Mytilus edulis: one gene and its partners. The protein of the gene in region 2 interacts with the protein of the main gene of each other region in a pairwise test. Links are inferred from orthologs where the notes say so. Each region holds a gene or a part of one and is shown on either strand. Other genes may lie near its edges. The genes, in order: tetratricopeptide repeat protein 23-like, huntingtin-like, transcription elongation regulator 1-like and nucleoporin p58/p45-like.

The links.
Region 1: the proteins of huntingtin-like (region 2) and tetratricopeptide repeat protein 23-like interact in binary tests that used the Homo sapiens proteins (3 or more experiments, as listed by UniProt). The link is inferred for Mytilus edulis from reciprocal best matches to the Homo sapiens genes HTT and TTC23.
Region 3: the proteins of huntingtin-like (region 2) and transcription elongation regulator 1-like interact in binary tests that used the Homo sapiens proteins (3 or more experiments, as listed by UniProt). The link is inferred for Mytilus edulis from reciprocal best matches to the Homo sapiens genes HTT and TCERG1.
Region 4: the proteins of huntingtin-like (region 2) and nucleoporin p58/p45-like interact in binary tests that used the Homo sapiens proteins (3 or more experiments, as listed by UniProt). The link is inferred for Mytilus edulis from reciprocal best matches to the Homo sapiens genes HTT and NUP58.

The regions. Positions count from the first base shown.
Region 1 is NC_092354.1:39,864,162-39,872,037, forward strand, and holds the start of tetratricopeptide repeat protein 23-like, read right to left. Parts: upstream 3,165-7,876; 5' UTR 3,148-3,164; coding exon 3,047-3,147; intron 1,080-3,046; coding exon 927-1,079; intron 408-926; coding exon 239-407; intron 1-238. Other genes in the region: superkiller complex protein 8-like, read left to right, coding at 3,769-3,783, 6,423-6,450, 7,387-7,492. UniProt on the Homo sapiens protein: Participates positively in the ciliary Hedgehog (Hh) signaling.
Region 2 is NC_092347.1:34,306,227-34,313,363, forward strand, and holds the start of huntingtin-like, read right to left. Parts: upstream 3,137-7,137; 5' UTR 2,975-3,136; intron 1-2,974.
Region 3 is NC_092347.1:74,834,909-74,843,092, forward strand, and holds the start of transcription elongation regulator 1-like, read right to left. Parts: upstream 3,075-8,184; 5' UTR 3,012-3,074; coding exon 2,878-3,011; intron 590-2,877; coding exon 277-589; intron 79-276; coding exon 1-78. UniProt on the Homo sapiens protein: Transcription factor that binds RNA polymerase II and inhibits the elongation of transcripts from target promoters. Regulates transcription elongation in a TATA box-dependent manner.
Region 4 is NC_092351.1:34,502,656-34,510,221, reverse strand, and holds the start of nucleoporin p58/p45-like, read right to left. Parts: upstream 3,005-7,566; 5' UTR 2,787-3,004; intron 632-2,786; 5' UTR 619-631; coding exon 603-618; intron 1-602. UniProt on the Homo sapiens protein: Component of the nuclear pore complex, a complex required for the trafficking across the nuclear membrane.

The DNA of each region.
Region 1 (7,876 bases), on a different chromosome or scaffold from region 2:
TGCTATGATTTTATAAATACTTATAATGGGACAGGGTGAGTTTTGCATTTACAAAATTAAAACTTGCATTCTGAAATTTTTATATGTATCAAAAGGATTTTTCTGAATATCGCAAAATTTAAAATCTTAGTCTAAAATGATAAAATCGCCATAATAAATGCACACAATACATTCTGAATATACAGTAGATATTAATGAAGCATTTTTTTGGCAGAAATTTAATCAAAATAATTAATACTTTTTCATTTTCTCTGAATTTTCCAATCCTTTTAACTGCCTGTTTGAGAAGTTTGTCAGGTGGTGTCATATCTATCCCATGACGACCATTCTTCCCAGGCTTTTTCTTTCTACTTGTTGTCCTCCCTGATCTAGCTGTGGTCATATCATCCTCATAGTCATCTTCATATCTGGAGAATAATTTGTAAAAATTAATCAAAGTGCTTGGTGGCACTGACTGGAAAAGATTGTTTCAATTTATCATATGCTGATGATATGGAAGTACAATTAATTATTGTATTGGTTGTAGTTGATTTAATAGCAATTCTAGACAAAGGAAGATAACTCCAATTCTTAAAAGATGACTTTAACAAATTCAATGACATCATTTATATTTTTAGAACAGATGTTAGATTTCTGCACCTTACAAAAGTTATGTAATTTTCTTGACAATTGAAACATCATCTTGGATATTAAGCATATATATTACATCGATATATTTTTGTAATAGCTAAAGCATGCATCAGGGTGCAGGATACTCTAGCTGCAGTGAAGACCCCTTTGTTGCCTTCGGCTGTTATCTGCTCTTTGGTCGGGTTGTTGTCTCTTTGGCACATTCCCCATTTCCATTCCAAATCTTATTAAATTCATGAATTCTGTAGTGCTGCACATTTTTATCTAAATTACTAATTTTAGATACATGCACTCACCTGTTCTCTTCATCTGAATCTGAATCTCTGTGAAGTGACCTTTGTGAATGTTGCCGTGGTGTTCTACTATGACCTTTGACCTCCACCATCATGGGAGCTCCTACATTCATATCGTCATCAGAATCTTCTGAATGCATGTTGCTAATTAACTTTCTAAAATTTCCAAATTAATATTTAGTTAGAAATTAAAAGGAGAAGGAAGGGTTTGAAATAAGCAGGAACCCTTTAGCCAATATTCCCTAAAAAATGGTGTGGGCTACTAAAATCTGTGCTTTTTTGTAGGAACAAACGGTCAATTTCGGCAAATAGTTACAAAATTTAATGTGATTCATCAGATTATCCTTTTTTAGTATTGAGATATATATTGTCAGAGTTCTCACATAATGAACATTGTCTTAAAAAGAAAGTGTACATTTTATTGTCATGCAACAAAAATTATTATTATACATGTACCTCGATCATTGTCGATCAGTATGTTTATATAAAAAAGAATGAAAAAGATGTGTTATTTCATTCCATAGACTATTTGCTAGTCAATGGTTTCAAAAACTATTACCCTGGTTAATAGTTTTATAATTATATTTCCCTTACTTATTTTTCATTGGACAATAATGATGTCATAAACTATTCTGCATGGGTTTGTACGCTTGGCAATGTCAAACTCTAATATATCGTAAATGGTATAATCTGTTCAGTCAGGGGTACTGACTGCTGCTTGTGTCTGTCGTAATTTCAAATTAACATATTCATGATATTACTAACCAGAAGCAAATTTAAAAGAGAAAGAAAATCTTCGGGACACATTTTTAAAAGATCTAAAATATAATAAATGTATATGGGTTTGTCGACGTCTTTATAAACTGTTGTGTTTGATGTACTTTAGCCTTATTTAGCTACAATTTATGAGCTGCACAGAAATCTTAACTCAAGTATTCCTAGTCTTGATTGTAGTAAATGAAATATTTACAAATGCAACACAGACTTTAAAAATAAATTATAGTTAATTTTGGGCATGTTTATTTGACATTTTAGTTTTCTTTTAGATTATGAACGTTGAATTTTAGAAAGTTTATTTATTTTGTATAATAAAACACCTAAAGACTGGTAATAATAGCAAGTTGGTTGTCCCTTCAATAGCTGATACCAACTATTAGTATTATAAAAATTTTAAACCATCATTTGTCATGAAGGTCATTACGACCCTCATAGTGGAATATAAACCGAAGTGTAATCCAAGATTACTCTGATGTCCAAATGCTATATTTGGCCAGACAAGCTGGGCTTGGGGACGTCAGAACTCGTCCCATATTAAAAAGTGGATATTTGCCCGTCCAAAGTAGAGGCGCTGCTTCATCACTTTTGGTGCCGACTAACCAACTTGGAATTATATAAATCAGGTATCAATTTGTTCCTTCTTCATTTATGAATATTTCTTCTACCTGCCACCCTTTATTTTCTCATACGTGTATTTAGACAGTTTTTACAGTGACCCATCGATTCAGGCATTTTAACTTTCATTTTGAAAGATTGTCATGTGATTAAAGAGAAAAAGTAAGGAACAATGGGTTATGGGAGCTGATTTATGCAATTGACCCTAGGTTGATATGAATACATGTACATAATCTGACACCTCGTTCATTTACAATGCAAGTAAGGTAAATGTCCGAGTTCTTCCAATTGTTATCAATGTTGGCTACTATAAGTGTTTAATACCGATCTCCTATAAAGGGGGTGAAGAAATATACAGAATACCAAAATTAGCATAAATATTTGCATACTTCAGTCTTGAGACAGTGAAGTCTCTCATCACTTGACATCCATTTGAAAATAAAAGTAAAAATGTCTGAATCGATGGGTTGCTGTGAGAACTGTCTAAATATGAGAAAATAAAGGTTGGTAGGAAGATGAAACTTACATAAACGAAGAGATAACTGAAGAATGAACAAATTGATACTTGATTTATAATAATATAATTCCAAGTCCTTTAGCCGGGACCAGAAGCGATGAAGCAGCACATCTATGTTGGATGTGCGAATATCCACTTTTTGATAAAATATGGGACAGGCCCGACTTCCAAGGCCCATCTTGTCTGTTGGACTTCAGAGTAATCTCGGACTAACAGAAGTGTTATGCGGTGCCGATTTGTCTTGATACCAAATTGTCTTTCTCTGGTATTTAGCCCATGAGGTCTTTTGCTGATGCTGAATTGCCTGGCACCCATTTTATTGGTGCCAAGGTATCTTGATTAATTGTACGGGACTCAGGACGACAGGAGTCTGAGCAGATCCCGTATTCATAACAGAGCCGAACTAGAACGTGCTGCGTGTATTTCTAGTGTAGAAGGGGTTAAATAGTAAAATACACAAAGCTAGCTATAGTCAAATCGGACCCTGGTTAAATCGACATCTGGTCAAAGGAAACTATTAATGATAATTGTTCCTGAATAAAGTGCTACTTGTGTATGAATACTAATGATTGTAAACGATAACGTACAATATAATGTATTGGACAGAAAAAAAAGGTTTATGTCTATAGTTTTGTTGATTTGTTTACATCTACGGTCGCCATTTGTAAACAGTCTTGAAACCAAATTAAAAAATTTATAAATATTTTATAGATGTATATATTTTTAAAGAGAAATATATCATATTTTATTTAATAATAATTTTATAGTAATAACTGTTATATAAATGTAATTTAACAGATCAAATCAAGAATTTAACAAAACAATATTTTGTTAGAGACTATAAATTTTTATCTTAGACAGGTGCGCGTTTAATCTAACAGTAAAACCGAATGGGAAACAAAACATTCTATTGACTACACAGCCACCGGCAACGGGATGGCGAATCAGTTGGTAAGGAAAAGAAATTGCTTTTATATTATAGACAATTAAAGATCATTCGTATATTGCTTTTAACTACACACCGGATGAATCAGTTAAGTGACTGTTACTCAGATCCTTACTGTTGACATAGTGTCATTACTCTTTTTCTCTCCTCCAGGCTCCACATCATCCACAGTGTCAGTGGCTTCTTCTTCTTTAGGTTTTCAGTAGTCCTTCAATGATCTGAAGATTATTTACTGTTTGCGCGCGCAGCGTGGCCTATATATATATTTACAAAGACAAAGACAAAAATATATGGAAATAAATTTGAGGTGCGTAATTTAACTTTTTTAAAAAGGTGATTAAAACTATGTACATAGGCTAATAATGAGTTAGATGAATTTGTGGAGAACAGCTGGTGTGGCTGTTAATAAACACGATAAAAAAAGAACAAAGTAATTGATAAATCAGAAAATCACTCTAGAATAATATCATGCTTAAACCCCAATGAGACCCACATACAGGTCATTTCTGGAATCATGTCTTCCACCGGAAAAGATCGTCAATTTTGCATGCCTTTATGACGTCATTTACCAGATACAGACTACACGAAATACGTTGGACCGTCGGACAAATCCGGTAAATAATGGATCGGTCTGGTAAAATTTTGTTGAATTCCGGTCCGAATGTCCGGTGTTTTTTTTTCATGGAACATTCTAGCAAAATTGCCAAACAATCTCAAATTCATTTTCATCTTTATTATTCATCACAGCGATGTTTATTTTGTTCAACCGCTAGCTTTATGCCGAACATCGACAACCAGTAATGTGTAAATCCGGGTAAAAACATATCTGACTGTCAAAAACAACAATGGATGCCATCATTGGCACAACCGGAAATGCAAATAAAACCGGATCAGATTCTGGGAACGGATAAGGATAATTCCGGGTTTGCCGATTTAAATACAATAAATGAATAAAAATCCAAGCAGATCACAAAATTTAGCTATGAAATATAACCACAAGAATTGAAAACCAAAAGATATATGAAAAAGAAAGAAGAAACAAAAAATAATATTTTATACAGAAACTCTAAATTATGTTTAGTTCACAAACATTGTCAAAATCCAATAAAATGGGACATTACTCTTCACTGAAATGCATTCAAGCAATTGTGCACAACTTTCATAACAATATCCCCTCTTGTTACATCATTTTGTTTTAATTTGTGCATTTTGGTGAGGAGTAGGCCGGCACAACAAAGTCATATGTTTGTTGTTTTTTGTCGGATAATATACAATTAGATGTAAAAAAAAATTGGTCTGGTAAAATTTCATTCGGTCTGGTAAAGCTAGGATGCTTACCAGACCGAATGTCCTGTAAAAATAAAATTCATTCGCGTAGTCTGCAGATAGAAGGCGCGCCTGCATCCCTGTCTATAAAAAGTTTCCAGCACTTTCATAATCGTCATTCTGTAGGGTAGTATAGAAATAATTAATGTTCTGTAAGTACATATAAATCGTGATTGCCATAGGATTGAGTGAGGGTGACCATCCTTTTAGATTTTAATTTCCCAAATATTTTGTGCAATATAAAATAAGACTTTTTCACCCGTTTGCTCAACATGTGCTGGAAATTTCTATGCATACATTTTTGTCAGGTGGTGATGAAAGTCACATGACAGATTCGTCTGAAAACTGTATCCCGGGAACTGGCCTATTAAAGTTTTTTTTTTAAAAGCGTTTTCAGCACATTGACAATGTCATTGTGTACATGAGTTCCACAAGTTTTAATACCCTAGTTTACTAGTCCAAATAATTATGACGTCTTGTAATAAAGACTATTTTAATATTTGCTTTGACGCCTACCTGCAAAGTCATAAAGCCAAACTCTTTTTTTTTCATTTGGTCTTTGAACATGTTGAAAGAGATTTTTTTATTTTATTAAACATGTTAAAATGTTTAGATGATTTTTCCCGATATTTATAAAGTGAGAAATGGAATCAAAACAAAATATACCGAAATGCAATGAAATATAACAAAGCAAAGCAGATGGAATAGCATATATTTGTAGCCCGTTAGCATGTTAGAATCAGAAATCATGGTTCGGATTACTTGAAAAAAGTCCACATTTTTGTAATGATAAAAAATAAGAAGGTGTGGTTAGAGTGCCAATGTATTTTAAATTAAAAATTACAGGTCAAACTACTACCTTGAAGTTTGAACATGTTGAACAAAACACTTATGCTCACATATCATGCATATATATATACAATAAACAGAAAGCTATAAAGGTCACCAAAATGACCACTGTCGTTGACTGTAAAACAATGTCAACACAAAACCAGCTGTCTTATCTATATACAGAACAAGGAAAGCAAAACACCTATGAACCACACCAACAAAAGACTTAAGTATTATAAAATATACAGCAGGTTTAATAGGCTCAAGATTAATAACATTACCTTGAATGAATTAGATAAATTTGTGTTGATTTATATTTTACCATGTTTACTGTAACAATTTAAAACGTAGCTCTCTGGTTTTTCACTGGCATTCACACCAACCATCAAAAGTTGGATATTTAAACAAAATTGAGCACATGACATTTGACCTAAAAACATGATAAAATAATATTTCCTGTTAACCTAATTATTTTTAATCTTTGTAGTATTCCCTGATATTCAAACAGGAACAAGGTGAGTTTAATCATTGTTAATTCACAAATCAGATATAACTTTCTATCACTAATGAATTTCATTAAGTACAATGTTTCAAAAGACTTCTATAAAATCTGAGTACATATATATTTATAAACATGATAAAAGAGCGTCGAAAGATACCAAAGAGACAGTCAAACTCATAAATCAAAAATAAACTGACAACGCCATGGCTAATAAAGAAAAAAGGCAAACAGATAAGTAGTTAGTACACACTACACAAGACACAAAATAGAAAACTGAAGATTAAGCAACACAAATATATAAATCAGAACTAAAAAACAGAAAAAAATTAAGGTCTGTATGCATATTTTTAAGATATACATGTAAGCCATGAAAAGTTGGTGGAAAATGATTATCTCTAGTATTATCATTCATTTAATTTTAAAACACCTTTTCTCTTTCAAAAAACTGTATGAAAAGAACACAAGGATTTTATAAGATTTTAAACTAAGTATATACGTCGTGATATATGCTATAAAGTAAAGAAACGAGAAGTAGGTTTTAGCAGACAAAGTTTGTAATGGAACAAAATGGATAAAACCAAAGGATTCCAATTATCTGACAAAAATCATGGTAAATGTTAACAATTGAATTTAAGATGGTACCTAACACTACAGGGAGATAACTCAGTAAAAATGAGTTCAACATTTTATTGTTAACCTGGTTAAGGAAATATTAAGCTTCTCAGTGATGAAAAATAGTGTTTGTCAAACTGCTACATAAACTGATTTTTTTCTGATAAAGTGGTTAGTTCAAATTTTTTAAAATTTTTATATTTTTGTCAAGGGGTCAAAGTTAACATTTTGTCAACACTTTATGAAAATTAAATGAACCAAATTAATAACAGTCAAAGTGTTGGGTACCACCGTAACCACCTTCAATGATGCTTATAATAATTTTGTTATTTTATAGCACATGAAGACAGTATTTGGAGTTGTGCTTGGAAGAAAAATGAAACAGATGGATCTGAGAACATTATAACAGGGGGAATAGATGATCTCGTCAAAATATGGAGATGGTAAAATTATTATTTAAGATTAACTTTATCTGTAATATCATATTTTTATTTACACTTTTATATATATTTTTAATTGTAAAAAAAATAATACAAGGAATTTGAAACTTATATATTTGAAAATATGTATATTCTAAAATAATATTGAGGAATGTGTCTGCGAGACAACAACCCGACAAAGGAACAAAAAATAGCCTATGGCCACTAATCTGTCTTCAATACAGTGAGAAAATTCCATACATGGAGGTGGGCCTTAGGTGGCCCCTAAACATGCTTAACACAAATTTTCAGTGAAAAGTTCAAGTCACACTAAACTCATAAACATATTAAAGAACTAAAATTAAAGTTGGATCAATTGGTTATTTAAGATTCAGGTGTTGTACAATA
Region 2 (7,137 bases):
CATCATGCAGATAACACCATAGCATACCTGACAATATCAAACTACAAAGATTTGAACAACCTACAAACAGATCTTGATAAACTAGCTACATGGGCAACCAAATAGAAAATGGCCTTCCACCCAGACAAGTGCAATGTACTTTATCATCAGCCGGAAAAACAATACCATTACAACATCCTACAAACTACATTGTCACACTTTAGAACCTGTCAAAAGTGCCAAATACCTAGGCTGCACATTCACATCTCAACTGAAATGGAATGTAAATAAGGTCTGCAACAAAGCCAAAAGAACAAGCTGCTTCCTAAAATGAAACTTGAATATCAGATCTAATTCTGTAAAGAAAAATGCCTATAAAACACTAGCAAGACCAATCACAGTCTCGACAGCCAGTCCAGTATGGGATCCATACAATAAAACTGAGATTGACTGACTAGAGATGGTCCAGCCCAAATTATATGTGATGAACAAACATCTTAATCACTCAAGTGTAAGCAAGATTATTAATTATCTTGATTTGAGATTCCTCGAAAAAAGGCAAAAAGATGCAAGACTCGCCATGCTCTTCAAAATTGTAAATGAAAAAGTTGCAGAGACAAAGGAAGATCTTCTGATGCAACCTAAATGATTGTCAAGAAATATGCATGACAGAAGCTTCAAAATTCCATCAGCTACAAGTGATTAATGGAAATATTCTTTCCGCTAAACATCAAAGATTGAGGGGGGATAGGACCTTTATCGGGACTCCAGGATTGGGTGTTTTTAAGCTCGGGATTTCGGGATTGACCCTTTTTGGGATTTCGGGATTTACTTTATTTAAATTCGGGACCTCAGGATTTCGTTTTTTTAAGTCTGGGATTTCGGGATCAGGACCCCTCCTATCCCCTCAAGATTGGAACTCTCTACCTCCTGGGGTTGTATCAGCACCGTCAGTCAAGGCTTTTAAAGCCTCAGTGACAAAGCTGAACTAAATTAAAATAAAATGGGGGGAGGGGGTGGGGCCTGTATGTACAAAAAATTCAGTTAGTTGATTGTGGTCATTATCCGGCAGAAGTAGACGACAACCGTGGAATGAAATAATTTTTTTATCAGAGACAAGTGCCTTAGTCAAAATAATTATGACGTCTTGGAAGGCTTTTTAAAAATGTTGCTTTGACGTAACGCGTCAAAGAAAAAATATCTAATAACCTTTCAAGACATCATAATTAATTGGACTAGAAAACAAGTGCCTATGTCATGGCGGTATCTGGATGATTCGTTCCAACTCCGATTCGTCCCAACAAATTTGTCCCAAGTTGCTTGGACAATTCGTTCCAACTTTTTCCAAAACTTGTCAGTTCGTTCCAACAGTATTAAACAATATTAACCATTTGCATAGCCTTATTATTTTAATTTATAATGCTGTACTTATATATATATAATGTAAATAAATACTTAGTTTTAATAAAAATCTATGATTTATTAATTAGGAAGAAAGGTATATTGGGTATGATATATTGATAAATATTAATTATTAAGTATTTCATGACAATCTAATATTTTAAAAATGAATAAAGTACTAACTAGTGTTATTTTCAAAGAATTCGTTATTATTATAATTGATTATTGTATTTCAATGGATAGGTAGCACCATCTTCCCCATCAGTGCTTGGACTGTTTTTGGCCAACCCATTCGCACTAACAACGACGTCGAAGGCTGGCACAACAGACTAAACCGCAAGGCCAAGGGTGCCAGCCTTCACTTGTATGTGATGCTGAAAGTTCTGAGTGATGAAGCCAGGTACCTACCCATGCAGATCCAATTAGTGTCGGAGCATAAACTCACGCGCTACCAAAGAGCAGCCACAGAGAGATCACAGTCTAAGCTGATGGAGCTGTGGGACAGTTACAGAAGCCAGCAGCTTACAGTAACCCAGCTGATGACATCCGTTGCACTTATCGTAGTGCCGTCCGTTGAACAGTAGAATGAACTTTCTGAAATACTACAAGTCATTTAGACTATTGATCAATTATCCATGAACTTGAACTGTTATTGTTATATTTTGTTATTAGTATATGTGTCAATGACATGATATCAAATAAACATGTAAACCTTAAACTTATTTTTTTTTATTGGAAAAGACATTCAGATTATACCGAAATATGATAAAAGTTGACAAGAAAAGGAGAAAAAAACAAAGACAACCCAAAAAATCTATGTCTAAATAAACAAATATTGTACATATAAATCTGCGTAATTCAACATAAATATTTGTTAAAATCGAACCATAAACGCATCATGAAATTTCATATCGCACATGCAAAAAAGAAGCCATAGATATTACTGAAAAACGATCTTTTAATATGAAAATATTAAATATGATACATAAAAATTGACAAGAAATTGATGATTTTTGCCGTGAACTATAGGTTGATTTACACAAAGACAGTGATATACGGACAGTGTAAGAAAGTTGGAACAAATTGTTAAGACTGATTGAAAAACGATCTATTATATGAAATATACATAAAAAAAATTGACGATTTTTGCCGTGCAGTGGGTTGATTTACACAAATACAGTGATTTACGGACATACACACTATAAAAAAGTTGGAACATATTGTTAAGTCTGATTAATAATAAAATAAATTAGTTGGTACGAATTGACAATTGACTTGGTACGAATTGTCCAAATCTGGAACGAACTGGTTTGGAACGAATCGGACTTGGAACGAATTGACTAGCATTCGTCATGGCTATGCCTATGGTCGTATGGATAAACTCAGGCTATCCACTTGCAACACCTGTTGCTGCCAATGCAAATTAGAATCCAGTGATGATGGTTCATCTGGCAATGTTAAATCGAGCAAACGATGGCATTTTGGTTTCGACAATTGGGGAAAAATATAATATGTCCGTGTGCGTGAAATAATTTATCATGGTCATAAGGCTGGTATGATTACTGATCTTGACAAGAAATGGGTAAAATTTAACCTTTCTTGTTCGGACGTGGATCACCAAAACGTCAGATAAAAGGCTGGGGCTATCGAAAATGTAGGAACAACTGCTGTCATTGTAGCTTTCACTATGTTTTTCTTTCAGTAAGTGGTCAGGTTGATCAATATCTTAGACCGGAAGTTTAATTTTACGGTCACTAATCTATGTATTTTCGACCCAAAATTCAGTTCGTCCTGAATGTGGTTTCGTCCCCGATTTAAGTTCGCCACAAGCATTTTATCCTTACCGAAATGGTTTAGAAAGAATACTACCAAGTATTATTTTATACATGATGGCATTTACAAAAGCATCATTGCTAGTTAACAAATGTCACTTACTCAGATTTTAATAAACAGATTATTTTCATTGAAAAAATTTCACTTAATCTTATCAAATTTATTGATAGTTGAAGTATGCTTTAACCAAGCAGGAATTTGATAGATTTTTTTACATCAAAATTCCCCGATATATTGTCTATTAAGCTTACACAAGTAGAGAAAGTGTCCTTCTAAACTCTCTTTGACAAGACAGACTTTTTGATAGAGGTTATAAATAAGTTGTTGTTCAATGATTCAGATATTTGTTTGGAATCCATGAACATCAATTTGCAGATTCATATTGTGTCTGTATTGGTTAATCTGCTTTAAAATTTTATTGTTTGTTTTTTTCAAAAGAAAAAGATCTTGTATTCCTGTACTGTGTGTGGCATTGCTGCAAGGCATTTTCAATGTCTTTGATATGTATAACATTGTTAAATATTTTCTGTGTTATTTTTTTACCTGTATTTTATTTTCAGATATTTGGTTTTCCTGCACTCAATTGTTATTGGTTAGTTTTATGTATCTTTTGCTGGTCCATTGATCAAGACTTCATTTAATAAGGGAGGGTTGAAATATCAAACCAAAGCCTCAGAAGAAATTGTCATTCCTAGTATGAGGAATAGGTTGACAATTTTGGCAATATTGACTGATGCAAAGTGCTGAACATTTTTGCCAATTACAGTTTCTTTCTTTTTTTTAAGTTTTAGCAACAACAAAACAATACAGGTTGAAAATCTTAAATATAAAATTGTTGTGTAAACAGACACTGCATCATATAGCATAAAAGATGGACGAAAGATTTCAGAGGGAGAGTCAAACTCATAGATAGAAAATAACCTGACAACGCCATGGCTGAAAATAAAAAGACAAACAGACACAACATAGAAAACTAAAGACTAAGCACCATGAACCCAACCAAAAACAGGTGCTCCGGAAGGGTAAGCAGATCCTGCTCCACATGTAGCACCCGTCGTGTTGCTTATGTTATTACAAATCCGGTAAATAGTCTTATTCGGTAGGTCACATTGACATGTTCATATGAAGCCTGATAGCAAATTTCAGGATGCTCTAATCTGTAGATCATGAGAAATCTGTAACAGATATTCATGGGAGGGATGGGCAGACATACAGAAAGGGGAAAAACAGTGTACAACCTCCTTCACAGCAAGGTTTAATAATATACTTCTGAAGATAATGTTGTGCTTGCATGAAGCTTTTCTCATAATGCTTTCATGAAGAAAGATATGCAAATGATATAATTACTAATCACATGTAGCTTATTTTATCTCTATGTGTTGTTCTTCCAAAATGGCTGTGCCCATGTCACTCTATTATAGAACATTGTAATCCTAGGGCTAAAGTAATGTTTGGCCCAGTATTTTAAGAGGGGATTTTTTTTTTTAAATTACTACAATTGATGGCAATAGCTCGCTTGACCTCTTGGGCAAGATAAGCTACATATTTTTATGGCATTATAATGAGCCTTTCAAAAGTGAGGAACCTTGTTAGCAGTATTTTTTTCACATCATAAAGTGTGTTTTTCATTTTAGAGAATAAGATGTTGGAAACAGTTTGATAGCATCTGTTATTCCTAATCTGTATTTACCTTGGGGTGGATTTAGAGTGTATTGACACCAATTTATCTTGTAAGACCAGAACATTTTGTGTTGTTTTTTGTGTTGTGTTGCTGTTTCATTGAAGTTAAGCCCATTCATTCATATTTATTACTGGGCATCACCCTTCATACACATTCCAGCAATCTTGCATAAAAAGTTATTTTTAAGAACATTGTATGTGCCTATTTAAAGTCTCAACTGAATATGATTGCTTACAGGGTATATGATATCTACTTTCTCAAGATTAAGATCTGCTGTGGGAACAAGAATATTGCAAGAATAAATTTCTAGGTCCACAGAATCAAGTGTTCAGTCAGTGGCGGATCCAGAGGGGGGGTTCCAGGGGTTGGAACCCCCCCCCTTTTTTTTTGGCCGATCAATGCATTTGAATGGGGACATATAGTTGGAACCCCCCTTTATCCTGGGTTGGGACCCCCCCCCCTTTTTTTTTAAATGGCTGGATCCGCCCCTGTCAGTATTGAGCAGCAGGTCAAATTGTTAGAATGACCTATTACAAACAGCACATCATTTAAACTCTCCATTTGTTCACAACTTTGTTCCATGTAAAATTTGAGCTAACAAGTGGACAGTGTAGTGAGCTTCTGTGTCATTTGGTCTCTTGTGAAGAGTTGTCTCTTTGGAAATCATACCACATCTTTTTTTTATATTGTGTTAAAATTGTAGAGATGAAAAATAAATTACCATACAAAGGATTAAACCAAAAACTTGCAGCTGTTATAATTATATGACTCTCACGTCACTGAATAGCGCTGTGAGGTGCATGTATAGAAATGAAGACAAATATTAGCTATGATCTTTCATTTATTATGTTGTCAAATGCAGAAAAAAAAAACAATTTGATCATTAACAATAACACAGATTTTTTAGTATTACAATAACACTATAATAATCATTATTTAATAATAATCAAAAAAACATACCTTAATACAGCCTTACACTTATTTATATATCTTTAAGAAGGCAGCTTTAGACAAAGTTCAGTAGTAAATTTGAAGTTTTTTCATGAAAAATAAGAAAGATAGCATGCCCTTGAAAATGCTTTAAACTTTATAATTCAGCTGTATAAAATCAAAATTTGTTTAAATCATAGAAAAAAGTCTTTTCCCTTCAATTGTAAGAAAATTATACAAATTTATGAATTCATCAGAGGATTCATTTCTCAATTTCAATCATTCATACACATTAATTTCAACAAATTTAAGATGAAGCTATGATAGCTTTCCAATGTACATTAAATTATAAAGGTATTTATACAGACAATCTCATATATAGCTTTTTTTGGGTCAAACACATATAAATACACATTGTCAGATGAAAGACTAATTCAATAATAGAAAAAGTACAAAAAAGTAAAAACGTTGACCAGAATTACATCACAATGATTGTTCTTCCAATGCTCCTTTTAAAGCTTCCTTTTCAGTAAGAAAAAACTTCAAAATAAACAGGAATGTGGAATAATGATAATTATATAACATCTAAAAATTGTATGTGTACATTCACCCTCACATTAAGAGGGGTTTTCCCACTACAGGATAATTGTCTGATTATGTTCCCCAAAAATAAAATGAAAATTGAATGTCTGAGTAAGTTTTGAAACTAAAAATCCCAATAACATTTATATTAAATTAAATCTTAAATTAAAATGTGTAAGTATTATATCTTAAAAATTGACAGATCCCTTCCCATGGCCTCAAATTCAATGGCCCCCTTAAAACTATTAAAGTCATGAATCAGTATTACAAATATAACATTTATGATATCAAGCAATCTTTTTCTATTGAAAAAAACATGATTATAAACATCAATCATAAGATTTTCAAGCTTCTGTAGTATAAATATCACTTTCATATTAGGAAAAATTTGTAAAAGTAAACATTTTGAAAATATAATTCTAATAAATAATGACCATATTTATAAATAACTTTTTACATATATAACCATTCACAGGCAAAAAATGAACCATTCTGAACTTCAATATCATTGCACAATGATTATCTGAAGGATCACAAAATTAAGCAGCACTTTGAAATAAATTGAAGATGCCAAAATGTTAGCTTATTATATATTGTCTTCTTATTGCACATGATAATACTTTCATAAATTTCAAATCAGCAATTCCAGTTTAACTATGTTAGATCTATGAATTTATGTTTAAAGAAAAATTGAAAGAAAACTACCAAATTTGATTTTTTTTTTTCAATAT
Region 3 (8,184 bases), about 41 Mb from region 2:
GTAACCTGGTGGTGGCATGGCAAAGTTTGGTGGAGGCATGCCTGGTGGCATCCCAGGAGGAGGCATCATAGGTGGTCGCTAATGAATTGAAAAAACACAAATATTTTCAAGGGTTTTACTGAATTTATCAATTGCAAATTCTTTCATCATGTTCATTATTCTTGATTTTTAATGTTATAATTTCTGTTAACTTGAGTTTTTAAAAAGAAATTAACATTACCGTTACAGTCTGGCCAACATTCAAGTTTACTCTGAGGGACTTTTTGGAAAACTTACCATTCCTTGCATACCAGGTGGTGGTGGCATCCCTGGAGGTGGTGGCATTCCTGGAGGAGGAGGCATACCCTGATAATTCTGAGGTGGTGGTCCACCAGGCCCTCCTGGATGAGGTCCATAATTTGGATCAAATGGAGGTCTTCCAAATGGAGGTGGGCCTCGCATTCCTGGTGGGGGTGGACCCCTCATTCCAGGTGGTGGGGGACCTCTCATTCCAGGTGGTGGTGGGCCTCTCATGCCAGGTGGTGGTGGCCCCCTGTATCCTCTTGGAGGACCTCCTGGTCCTGGTGGACCTCTAAATGGTGGTGGTCCTCTGAAAGACATTCATTTTTTATTAATTACAATGAACAGAATTATCATATTTTAAGAATAAAGACGTCATTAAAAAAAAAGTTCTCAGTCAACAAAAATACTGATCTAGACATAACATAGATTTTTCAACATCAAATTCCAGTTTAGTTTCCTGTCAAAACAATGGCGACAATCACAAATATTTTTTGTAAAACAATGTGTTAGGGACTCAAGGGATACATCCCAGTGACTCACAAGTTTCAAAAGTGACACATTCAGCTGGATTTGTACAAGTCCAGGACAAGTATACACGTCTTAACGAGAACCTTGAGTGAGACTACACATCAGAACTATTTAGAGTAAGATTATTTCTGAATCTTAACTCTAACTGACCCCAATACTTTTAATTGCCTTGCCAAAATATTATTCTTGAAAAGGTGTTAAAGTGTTCTAATCAGACTTCAAGTAATCTGCTACAATAGTACATTATTGACTCAATTTTGTACTATTCAGATCAACACATATACTATTACTAGATTACAACAGGGATCTCCATGGCCTGTTTAAGGCGCCATCTTTCAAATGTCTTGCGTCATTGTCAAATGACTCGCGCCATCGTTCAATTGTCTTCCGCCATCGTTCAAAACTGTGATCGTTTTTATAGCCTGACGCCATTTTTTTTAGCAATTATAATTAAATGCATGAAATTACATAACCCTCAGGTTTTGTTTTTTTTTATAGTATAATCCAATAAAGTTCAAACGCCTGAGGGATATCCGGATTAAGATCGCTAATCACTTGTACCCGAGCTTGTTCAGGTAGATCAACAAACCAGACAGGAGAATATTATCTGAAGATAGACGATTCATTTGTCAAATTATTTAACTAAGTTTCCACAAATGCTTATGATAATTCGGATTAAATAAATAAATTAATAATCCAGTTACAAAGTTTAACAAGTCGACCACGTGCTTTAATTTTGACTTACGCAGCATCCCCCTTTTTAAGAAGTAAAAAATAAGACGTAAAACAGTAATTATTATTTCATCGCAAATAACTCGAGTACTGCTGTATTGTAACGATAATATAGAATTACTTTAAAAGTTAAAGAGTAAAAACTTTTAATATTTCTTGTAAAGAAATATCGTATCGTAATTCCGAATTCATTTCGTAGTTAACAATCAAATTGATACATCCGCGTTTCCGGTTTCTATTCAGACTCAAAAGATGAATGTTGCATAGCATCAATTTGCTAGATAAAGTCAATAAAAACCTTTTCATTTGACAACGTTTGCTTTACAAATCTTTTTAACTTTTACATAACCTGTACGACTCGTTTTGTCGTTGCTGCAAACCAGCCATACCGGTAATGGGTTCATGACTTCTGAATTTGACAGTGTCCGTGAAAAAAAAAGCTCCACATGATTTTTAACCCAAATAACAATTACCAAAAATAGCAAGAAAACTACATGGGGACCTCCGTGATAGCTATTGGTCGTTCTTGACTAAGGGAAAGGGAGGGGGCATGAGGGCTTGGCCTTTGAAGGGTTGAAAACGGCAATTATTGAAAATATGTATATACTTCTATTTAGAATTTATAATGAAAATTCAAATAAATATAATTTAAATAAGCAATGAATTAGCATGTTCACCTATCCTTATATGGAGGGATGAAATACTTCGATTGCGCTACACTGTACGGTGAAGATACGGTTTATGATGGTGAAAGTTCCTCCATCGTTCAATTTTCATCCATGGAGATCCCTGTACTTGGGAGTAAAATTCAAAACTATAAAATGTATGAACATCTGTTGCTTGCGCAAATATTAAGTGGATGCATGTGTAACACAGAATCAAACTTTAAAATTTTCAGGATTTTGGTCATGTGTATAAAGAATTAAAGAACTTCAGTGCATGATTGTCTCCATAGAAAAAAAAAACAGCAAATGATGTGGATTTTAATAAAATTGTGCGTTTTAACGGCTGACTTATAGTGACAGTTGTTCAGGAAAGTTAGCAGATTTATTCTTTTTGTAAATAATAAATAGAGAAAATTTTACAAAAGGGGGAAGTCCATGTCATTTTTGGTGAAAATTTTTGATAATTTTTTATCTCCATTTGTTGCAACATGGATGCGCACATCAAATCAAATTTCAAAGTTCATATTGGACTAAATGATAATATTGTCGCCTACGGAGCAGACAATAGTTTGGCAATTAAAATTATCCATACGCCGGCAACTGGATCAATTTTTAGCAACAAAGATGGCCGACCATACAGAACATAGCTTTCATGCTTCAGTTTTGGTACCTTGGTCCTCTCATATATCCTCTGCCACGCGGAGGGCCGTTATATTGATTTCTGTGAGATCTGAAATCACGATCACCATTGTCTCTAGGCCCATGGTCATGATGATCATGTTCATTTTGTTCATCGTCGCCCATCTTGTCTGGTCGCGTTTTTGTAGGCTAACTGGTTCCGATTTTCCAGTAGGTACCAGACTTGGTAGACTAACATAGGCTAAACTTGTTTCATCCTACGTCGTCGTCCGGTTTTTAAAGGCGTTTCGATCATACACCAAGTAATACTACTTCGGCTTTAGTCACGAGCGACAGTGTTCGAATAACGTCATATTAGAATACTTCTTCGGCTTTGGAATATAAAATATTAATATTGTCACGATTTTGGGACATCTCGGACCAACTAGTAAGACGAGTCGAACCGTCTTCACAATCACACTATTCTCGATATTGTCTCGATGTTAAAATCTAGGTTGAATTCGTCTATAATGCCAGCTCAGACAAATCATATCAAGAGACAGAGCTAATGCATATTTTAAAAGTTAATATGACTGTTTTTCGCCGAATGTAGGACAGAAAGTCACAGGACAAAAAGTCACAGACAAAAAGTCACAGGACAAAAAGTCACAATTCATTTTTTCTGATTATTTTCTTTGAATAAAAAATGCTTATTTTTACAAAAATATTTTTGTATTTTTCTTGATGTATTGTATATTAACCAACTTTGTAAGCAAAATTTATCAAAAAAATATCAAAGATGATCAAATAGTTGTTAAGAAAACAAAATGTCAAAGAAGATTGGCACTCAAATGGCTTCATGGTGCCAAGAAATATGTCTTTTGCATGATTAAAATAAAATAAATCTTCATTTTTCAAGTAAAATGATAAATTCCATTAACTTTAATATGAGTATATGTATTAAAAAGTAAATATTTCAAGATATTTCTCTTATATATTCCAACAGAGACATATAATACAATATTTATATAATTGTATTATATGTCTCTGATTCCAACAATTGTTGAAAAAATATTTGTGACTTTTTGTCCTATCAAATTTGTGACTTTCTGTCCGTTTACCTTTTTCGTCATCTTGGATTGCAAATAACCAATCATCAAGCTAGCAAAATTTTATACAGGAATCAGTGCAGATAACTAATGTGAATTTTCATTAAAACAAGAAATGTGTAAGATTTCAACTTATAATTAATAATATCTTACCAGCGTAGATTATATCGTTTGATTTTTAATGTATTCAAAAATAGGCATTTTAGGGGGAAGTAACTCCGAAAAAGTGCATTTTCTGAAGGAATCTACAAGAAATTTTTCTATTTTATATAACAGGCGAAAAAAAAACGTACCCTGTCTTTTCAATTGATATTCCTTAAATTAAAGTATTTGCTAAAAGCTATCTTCTCGTATTTTATTTTACAACTCTCAGTATCATTTAGTTATCTTCTAATCACATAATGACGTTTTTCCGGCTTTAATCCATACAAAATGTGTCATTCACAACCTGTAGCTTGAGAAAATGCACGGTGAACTATCAGTTTTATTATATTTTTAACATATCACAATATATACTATGTTTTGGCAAAGTATGATCAAACTCTATAATTTTTTATTTATACTCTAATACCACCTTGAATGATTAAATGTAATATATCACAGTCATGATTTAATGCGAAATAGAATTTCTACTTATGATTATGATAAGTTATATTTTAAATCACATCTTCATTAATTCCAAAATCAAACCTCTCAGCGCTTTCGATTTCTGACATGTCGCGTGGGCACACAAAATCTGCAATTCTTTAGCCAAAATCAATAACTTGCTTTTTCCTACCCATTGCAACAAAATCTAAAATAAAAAATATATAATTCGGTAATTTGAAAATGAACTATGAACTGAAGAAAACACCTATTAGTCAGTCTATATACGTGATCGTCATTCTACAGATTCATGCGTACCATGCAAATTTGACCGTCCAAAATCTAAAGTTCATTTCACCAATTCACTCATGAGGGTCTGGATGGGGTGGGATGGGGGGGGGGGGGGGGGGTTCTGTTATTCTGTAAACATTTAATTTTCACCCCTTTTTTCTCTAATCTTTAAAAAAAATAACCCCTTTTTTTCTCTAATCTTAAACAAATTAACCCCATTTTTCTCTAATCTTCATTTTTTTTTGCCCGTTATTCTCTAATCTTCATTTTTAAGGGCATTATTCTTTAATCATTTAACCCCATCCAAACCCTCACTCATCAGTCTCAGGTATTGATAGTAAATGCTATTTGCTGTTAACCACACACGAAAAAAATCAATAAACTGTGACGAGTTTCCCATTACATTTTAACCACACCAAATTCACTATAATCACAGTGCTCTAAAAAGGAACCCCCCCTTTTTTTTTAGACCATTGACAAGCCATTCTTCTAGATCCAGATAAAGGGCCTCCTGTGAAAAGAATGATGTAACTTATGGAAAAGCAAGTCAACTGCGTATTCTCTCTTTCAAAAATACCTCAATGAACTGCTCGATAAACATGATATCATTCTCTTACAAGAACACTGGCTCTTTAACTGCGACAAGGAACTATTAAAACAACATCACTCAGACTTTATTTATTTCATTTTCTATATACACATCGATGATGTTGAACTAATGTCCCCAATTGATAGACCAAGAAAACACAGTGCATGGTATTGCAACCATATACAGAAAATCTATGTCTTCAATTTTTTCTCAACTTCAAGACGGGAACAAGTTCTCAAACAACAGAATACAAGCTATTGAAATGTCAAGTCGGAAATCTTACCTTCCTTATTAGTGTACATCTTCCCTCTAGAGGTACGGATAAAAGACATGATGCTTATAGAGCACCATTTGACACTCTATCAGAAAAAAATCCTTAAGTACCAAGAAATAAACTCATCATAGATACCAATTTAATTAGATTGCATAGATACCGGCAGGAATTAAATTTTGTATTTGCGCCAGACGCGCGTTTCATCTACAAAAGACCCTTCAGTGACGCTCGTATATAAACAAGAGTTTAATCGGCAAAAAAAAAGAAAAGAAAGAAGTTTAGGAGCATTGAAACCAATTCAATTGTTGTTGCGGGGACTGTAACGCCTTGTTCGGTGCGGAATTTTCTCGCTGCATTGAATACCCATTTCGGACCTTCGGCTGTTCTCTAGTCTAAGACTCTTTGGTCGGGTTGTTGTCTCTTTGTCACATTCCCCAACTCCATTTCAATTTTATCTATTGAGAATGATGCAAGACTATAAGGAAATTTATTCAGGATCATAAGTGTAGGTCAAAACACCTATGACCATTGTCCTGTGTCTGTCAATCTTTATATAGACACAAGGACTTGCCAGAAACAGTACAGAGAAAATACTTGTACCAAAATCCACTGGGAACAACGGTAAATAAAGATAGTATACACTAAGTATTGAGTGCTAACCAAAGGATAAAAAATATTTAAACATGAGAAGACCTTATGGAATTGACCAAACTACAATCCAATTACTTCCCGGTTCGAACAGTGCACTAGAAACATGTTAGCTTATTAGCGTGAGAGGAAATCAAAGCAGGAAAAAACGGATAAGTTGGTCACCAAAATTGGCTCATGCGGTCAGGTAATAAAAAAAAAGCTTTTAACCCTGGAAATAAATCAGGATCACCTGAACATCTTACATGCGGAGGTTTAGCTTTAATTGACTACTTGCCTCATTAACCATCTTCTATATACAAAATATGTGCCTGATGCTATAAAAATGGGACGTCTATCTCCGGTCCATAAAAAAGATAAGGACCAACAGTGCCTTCAAATTATAGAGGAATTGCAGTCATCTCGATCATTTGTAAATTTTTAGAACTCTGTCAGAGAGGTGGGACTGACGGCATTTAAACAAACAACAAAATAGACGACAAAAAGGTTTTGCAAAAGGTGCTTCATCGATAAATTTGCTTTTTAATTGCTGAAGCCATCAATGAGATAAAAGATATAAGTACAAAAGGCTCATTTTAATCCTCCTAGATGCAGAAAAAAGCCTTCCATGTCGTAGATCACATCTTTTTCGAAATTACTTCACCAAGGAATCACAGGTTCAACCTGAATACTGATCAGAGAACTATATAATAATACATCAAACCAAGTAAAATCTTACGGGTGTATCTCAGAAGAATTCAATAACTAGAAACGAGTAAACAGGGAGGTATTTACAGAGCTTACACTAAGATTTCTAGATACTATCGAAGCAACAAATAGGTTTTAAGATCAGAACCATTTATTTGTGTTGTCCAACATGCGCAAATGATATCATGCTATGTGCAACATTGGAACAAGATGCATCAGCTCAACTCAGCATCGTTGAAAGTTGTACCAAAAATTGAGGCTGAGCGAGTTAAGATCAATAGAAAAAAGACTGAAATACTGTTGATCAACAAAAGAACTACCTCACGGCCGGCACTCGGCTAACCGAGAGATTGGTCGGTTAATCTATATTGAGTATGCGGTTTTGAGTATAAGGACAGTAGAGAGTAATGTATTGCTAAAAAAGAGAGAACAAATAAAAACTTTAAGAATACAGACACGAAACACCCCTGGGTGTTGAAACAGTAACGGATTGCGATGTACTCAAATTGATGACTAATGCTAGAAGTATACAAGCGGACAACTGCAGTTCTCCTTTGCACTTATGTAGGTAGAAAGGAACTAAACGGAATAAAATGAATTAAAACTTAAGATAACCAAATGTAGCTGCATACGCTCATTTCCATTTACTTCTTTAGAATGATTTGTAAACAACATATGATTTAGTAATAGAAAAAAAAACCAATTGGATGATGCTGACGAATTAGGGTTTAACGTCCAGTGACAAATGTCATGTGCATATGAGAACGACAACACGTTATATGTATCCTGTGTTGTATTAAAAAGACACTTTCAGTCGGATTGTAGAACGTGCTACTTTGAACAGACACACAAATTAAGGCTGATTGAAAAATGTTAATAATAATTTTCAATCCATATCACGCTATATTGAAGTGACACACCCTTCAATAAAATGCAAAGAAAGTCAAAATAAAAAATGCTCTTACTAGAAGGATACTGTTGCACCATATCGTCTTTTTTTTACTCAGTCAAGTACATCTCATTCTTAACTTTTTCAGTGGGGAAATATAAAGATAGCAAAACTATTATCGTGGCTATAAAATAACTCTTAACTGACACAATTTTTATTGTCCAACCCATTAACAGACTTTATTCCCCTATTTTTCACTAAAACGTGGTATTATTCACGTTATATTA
Region 4 (7,566 bases), on a different chromosome or scaffold from region 2:
TATTTCTTTTATAATTTTAATTTGTGACTCCCTTGTCCACGAAAAGAATTCATCACACTAACTTGATATACAATTGTTTCGTAGAGTCTGAACCCTACATCATAGGCTTTCGTTTTAGTTAAATTGAACTGGACAAAACATTGACCTAGACATGCAGTTGATCATTCCTGTTTCATTTAAATTTGGTCTATTTTGAAGAGCTGTTTCATTGTCAATCATACCATATTTTCTTTTCCTATTTTACTATTAATAATACATTTTAAGGAAATGGGGTTCGAATTCTCAATAAGAATTTTTCTAATGAATTCAAGGACTAGTCATTTTTGGTAATGGCGATTTCACAATTCTGACAATTAAAATCAACATGATTAAACTTCAAACTAACACATTGCCGATGATGCTGGAAACAGCAACTTTAGTCTGACTTTGTCAATGAATTTATCGAGACAAAAACTGAAGCAACTTTTGTAGTTTTCACACTGTCAGATACAATGTACTTATTTTTTTCAGCAATATCATGTTTATGACTTTTCAATTCTTTGTCATGTCAAAAATATTTTACCAGTATATTTCTTTTTTTAAATAATATTAAAATAATATACCTGGTTGGTTAGCCATGTCTGGAATTTACCTGTAATAAAGACAACATTATATTTTCAACATTAATGTTTCTCATCTTCTCATTGCATGCATATACAACTGTTAGTCACTCATTTAATTAATGGCTAATGACATGAATGTTAATCATGTTAATACTAAAGTCAAACTTCTTTCAGACCTCTTTAAAAAAACAAGAACAAGAGTGAACAATGCTGCAATATCTAGCCTGTTTTACTTATCACAAACGAATTGATATTGAACGAATTTATAAAAGTTTTGCATGAACATTACAAATGGAAATGAGATCAAGGTCAGATGAAACGTACCAGACACCATGTTCACCATGCAATCCTTCTATACACCAAATGCAGTTGACTAATGAACCATGAAACTAAGGTCAAGGTCAGGTGAACTCTCTATGACAGATATGTACACCTGACAATCAATTAAAATATAACCAAATATTGGTGTCCTATTGAGTATAGTACTTGAAAAAAACAGACCAAAATACAAGACCTAGCTTTGAGTGCAATGGCATGCACCATAAAAATGAGGTCACGGTCAAATGAACCCTGTCAGTTGAACATACAGTATACACCTTACAATTATTCAATCATTATCTATACTAAATATAGGTGATATATAATAGCTTATAAATGTAGTTTCTAGTAAATAAACCAAATCATAAAAAATAACATAGACTAAAGAAGCATTAAAATGAGGTCAAGGTCAAATGAAACCTGCCAGTCAGACATGTTTTACAATCATTCCATATAAAATTTGCTGATCTATTGCTTACAGTATCTGATTGGGATATGGATGTGACCACGAAAAACTTAATTTGATATTTGAGGGGTTGAATAAAGAAGGGGGCAGGTGGACTAACTGACATGTAGACCTTGCAAGGAAACCATACCAAATATAGTTTTCCTTTTACTCATGATAAGTAAGAAATTCACATGACAGTCACTTAACAATGAAAATGAGGTCAAGGACATAGGATATATACACAAACTTTGTAACATAAGGCATCTGCATACAAGACATGAAGGTTTATAGTGTATGCTGTCCTCACTGTCTAATTGTAATCCTCACTTTAAGGTTTCTATTTCTGTTCCAGGTGAGACAAAAACTGAAAGCAGAGCTCATAATTCATACTACAATTTTGATCATTCTTCTGTGCCTGCTAATTCAAATTCCACAATATGCATGATATGCAATGGGAAACCACCAAAAAAAAAATCAGATAAATATAAAAATAATTTTATTCATGTGACATGTATAACTATTTGAATGTTACATCGAAATCTATTCAGTTGTTCGAAGTTATGGATTCAAATACACCTTATCGCTATTTGTCCTCCAATACCGGACATCCCTCTGGTTCACGTAAAATTTTGACGTGCTAGGCTAATACAAAATATCTGACGCCACAATGGAAAAGTGATTGTTGTAAGATGTCAATAGTTCAAGCAAGACAGATTTTATGGTCATTCTGAAAAGTGATAAGGTGTATTAGTTTTCTAAAATTGTCAAATTTGCAGATAAAATTTCATGTATACATGTACATGATTTTTCATCTCATGTAATTAAATATAATATTCTTATCCCAAACTTTGTCTAGTTTGAAGAATTAAATATTTTTATTAATAATTAAGGAGAACGAAAAAAGTTAATTTCTGATTGTTGTTTCATTTGTAAGAGATGTTGAAGATACTGAAATGTGCATTCAAACTCAAAGTAGTAAACAAACTGACAATGCCATGACATAAAATGAAAAACAACAAAGAGATACAACAGTTCACAGAAAACTAAAGACTGGACAACACAAATCCAACCAAACACCATGAACACAGGGGCGGGGTATGATGTTGGGTGCTCCAGAGGTGTAAGGATTCTTTTCTTTTAAACACAGCAACAGATCTTGTGATCTACCCAGAGATAAATGTAAGTGCATGGACAGAACTTATTTACATGCCAGACATTACCAAAATACTATACACAGAAATTATATTATCATTCAATTGTTTCCTTATACAATCTCGGGAAAGTTGTGATTTACTCGCTAAATATACGTTGGTAGTGGGTCTTCCAAATTTATGGATAGAAACAAGTGCCTGTAAAAGTTGCACAGCTAAAAACGAAAGCTGGATAAATTTTTGCTAGCACGAACTACATGTACATACACAAGTAAACTTTCCAATTATTTAGGTTGCAAAGATATGGACTGCATATATATAACTTCTTATATATTTCTAATATCTTCAGATCATACAATCACTACAGAATTTCCCACCAAAATTATATTATTTTTCTCATCTCATGCCTTTCGAAATTCTGTCGACTGATTCCTTAATTAATCGACACTTTCGTTGAGCAAGGTATTATTGAAAATTTTGGACAGGGAACTAGTAACAATAGTAATATTAGATGAAACCAGGATAAGTTGGGATACTTTTCCGGAATATTGTGCAACATTTTACAGAATACAGAATACATTTTACACCTGAGATCACCCCCAGTTTATGGTGGAGTTCGTGTTGCTTATTCTTTAGTTTTATATGTTGTGTCATGTGTACTATTGTTTGTCTGTTTGTCTTTTTCATGTTTAGCATGTATTGTATTGTATTGTATTGTATTGTATTGTATTGTATTGTATTGTATTGTATTGTATTGTATTGTATTGTATTGTATTGTATTGTATTGTATTGTATTGTATTGTATTGTATTGTATTGTATTGTATTGTATTGTATTGTATTGTATTGTATTGTATTGTATTGTATTGTATTGTATTGTATTGTATTGCATTGCATTGCATTGCATTGCATTGCATTGCATTGCATTAATGCATTGCATTGTATTGCATTGCATTGCATTGCATTGTATTGTATTGCATTGTATTGTATTGTATTGTATTGTATTGTATTGTATTGTGTATTGTATTGTATTTAGTAGTTTCCGTAAATTCTTTTTTAAATTATTTCTATATTGAAAAAAAATTGCTTGCATTTTATGGAAGAATTGTCAATGAAAGTTGACAAAAAGGACCCAAAAAAATCATCCCTCTTGTCGTAAATTTTAGTGTATAGTTTCCCGTGTAGAACGAACATATCTAAAATCCAGGTAAGGACAGTTTTAACCGTTTATATTTTATTTATTTCAAGTGAAAGTTATTTCCTTTGGGTAAATTTCAGCCGTATATTTAGAAAACACATCAAGATAACCGTAAGTGTTGTTGAATATATATCAATTAAATGCAAGTTAGACTGGTCATAAACTGTGATTCATGGCAGTACAAGTCTGATATTAGGGGCGCCATTGGTCCCCATAGGAATACCTACCAACTCGTCGATATGTAACCTTTGATGCCGAAACGTACATTAATATTTGCATGGAAAAATTGTCAGCTACAATCTAATCACACACCCAATAAGTATATCTAACATATTTACCTTTCTCATTAGGGAATAAAATTGAGAATGGAAATGGGTTAATATCAGAGACAACGACCCGACCAAAGAGCAGACATCAGCCGAAGGCAACCAATGGGTCTTAAACGCAGCAAGAAAATACCGCACTCGGAGGTAATCCTCATCTAGCCCCTAAATAAAATTGTGCATACTAGGTCAGTGAAAATGGACGTCACACTAAACTCCAAAACATATAAATGAACTAAGACTAACAGAGGCTCCTAAATTGGGACAGGTGCAAAAATGCAAAGAAAAGAAGGCTTTACAGCAAAATGATTTGAGTGTGTAGGTAAAGGGTATACATTTGGCTAGCTTGCTTGTTAACTGAACCGTAAACTTATTATAAAGTTAGCTACTATAGTATTCTGCCTAGCTCCTTTCGGAGTAGTCTAGTCTTACAGACAGATATATTAGTTACCTGTCGGACTAGACTAATCATAAAGGAGGGTAGTATACATAACCTAATAATGCCACGGACTTCACGGCTCAGCTAGCAAGCACACAATATATATATAACCAATGATATTATCTTTACCTACACACTCAATTCATTTTGCTGAGTTGAAGCAAATATATTTGTAACTAAATAGGAAAACCTTTGTTTGATAAGATTGTGTGGAAGTGTAGTGGAAAGAGTTGAAAAGTAAAAACTGTCAACTAATCGAAACTTCAAAAGGACCACAAAAAGCACCTGATTTATCTAAAACAAAGAATGTTTAACAACTTATAACATATATAAGATGTCCCTAGCTTCATATCAATGAGCAAAACTATGAGACTTGAGGGACGGTTTTAATCAAAATTGATGTATGTATATGTTACAGGGAATTTGTGAAATCAGTGATTTTGTAAAATCCCTGAAATTTCAGGGAATTTGTAAAATCACTGAACTGATTAATGATTTTATAAAATCCCTGATTTTGACTAATGATTTTACAAAATCACTGAAATAATTAAGATCTTTTTTACAGATTCACTGATTAAATTCAGGGAATTTGTAAAATACATTCATTCATTTTTATTAAGAATTTCAGTGAAAAAAGACTACAACAGTATGAAACTCCAGAAATGATTCACGAGGTTCACTATTCGATTTTAGGATATCTTTAAATATTTCAGGACCTCCATAATTCGATTTAAGGGGGATATCTTTGAAACGATGTCAAGAATTCCTTTAAAAATTGATGTCAAAATGTCTTGAAATATTTAGCCATACATTTTTCTAATAGAAATAGTTTTGACTTTATACTCCGCGCCTCATACAAACCCGTTTACATAAGGTTATCGATAAAAGGCTCTCAACATATGACATACGAAAAAAAAACTCTTAAGAAGAAAATCTCTAGTCTAATTTATACAAAAACAATAAACGAAAATCATTGGCCCAGCTTTGTCCTGATTTATAGTGAGGCACACTTTAGGACGTTGGCTTTAATGCTCGCAATGACGATAATCTTTTGATAATCTGTTGATAAGCTGAGGTTGCAATTTACGAATGCAAAGATTATATTCGAGGAAAATAAGATGAGATTATAATGACAATTGGAACATTTCTGTTGTTATCTGTAATTCAGATATTCCATAATTTTGATCGGATGTGTGATGGTGTTCTAAAGTTTTCGAAACTCTGTATGATTTCAACTTCACTTAGAACTCTTGGTTTAAAAGCTTCGTTGAGGGCAGACAGGAACCCTCTATCAAGAAAATTTAACACGAAATGTAAGCTCTGGACTATCGTTTCAACTGGGAGAATCAGATATATACCGATAACTCATATGGCAGCGCTGCTGCGATGTTGCTACATAGAAATGGAAAGTTCAAGTGGTAGAAAGCTGAAACTATCTCTTTAGTCGTAAATATTTGTTCTCGATCGACCCTCGTTGTCAACATGGACTTTATTACAAGTCCCTGTTCACGGCCGACACTCGGCTAACCGAGAGTTTGGTCGGTTAATCTATATTGAGTATGCGGCTATATCGGCGGTTGGTCTGTTAATCGGGTTGGCTAAAGTCTGTTAATCAGGTGTTATCGAGAAAATCATTGCAAGGTCAGTATGTTTCATTGTATAACTTTTTAATTAAGGTCTTTCCTTTTACTAAAGGGAAAGACCTTACTGTATTTCTTCTGACTATTATTAAGGTCTTTCCTTTTACTAAAGGGAAAGACCTTACTGTATTTCTTCTGATTATTATTCTTCTTGTTCCGCCAAACTTTGACAAAATTTCCCTCCGTAACCGTAAGACGTGTCGCTTTCATGTTCACACTTTGTATCGGTGTCATGAATACCTATCCGGAACTCACCCTGTGAGTCGAAATATTTTGTCGGTTCGGAGTAATCCCTCCGAAACCCAAAAACCTTGTTATCGTTCCAACACCGTAACCGTAATAGGTAGAAAAAAAATGAAGGGTGAAATTTGTTCAGGACCAGACCCCGGTTCTTCGTTACATTTGGATCGAAAAGATTCAACGACTCATTGGTAGGGTTATGCCCCTATGAAAATTAACCGGTGTCGGTTGGCCACCAAAACTCAGAAACCGTAAGTCGTAGACACATAGGATCTTCACCAATCATCATCATTTCATGTATCTTTAAAAAATACCTCAAGGTCATATTTGTATGTTGACCTTGACCTTTGACCTAACACCTTGTTATGGGATAATCTCAAAAACCATTATACTTACAGAAGTTTTAAATGGTGGAAAATGTTTGGGTCATTATGGCGCAACTTTGTTACATTTTGACCAAAGAGATTTGACCTTTCTATAAGGGGCATAACCCCTGTTTTAGGTTTTTGAAAAGACAAAATCAGCTTTTACTATATAACCAAAGGTCCTAGACCCTTAAGGTCTTCAGTAATGGCATTGGGGACCAATGACCTTGACAAAGGTCAAAAGGTCAAAGGTCAAGGTCATGTACCAGATAGCGAATTTAGTGTTTTTAACCTTATATAAAGGATTTTTAGTGTGTTTTCGAGCTTTTTAAGGTTGACCTTGACCTTTTCAATACATTCTACGTCTGTTGGAACATGTATTTTACATTAAAAAAGGAAAGACCTCTCAATTGTTCAAGAACAATTGACAGTTTAATTATTCTTTTTGTTCCGCCAAACTTTGACAAATTTATCCGCGTTAACCGTAAGATGTGTCGCTTTCATATTCACACTTTGTATCGGTGTCATGAATACCTATCCTGAACTCACCCTGTGAGTCGAAATATTTTGTCGGTTCGGAGTAATCCCTCCGAAACCCAAAACCATTGTTATCGTTCCAACACCGTAACCGTAATAGGTAGAAAAGAAACAAAGGGTGAAATTTGTTCAGGACCAGACCCCGGTTCTTCGTTACATTTGGATCGAAAAGATTCAACGACTCATTGGTAGGGTTATGCCCCTATGAAAATTAACCGGTGTCGGTTGGCCACCAAAACTCAGAAACTGTAAGTCGTAGACACCTAGGATCTTCACCAATCATCATCAATTCATGTATCTTTGAAAA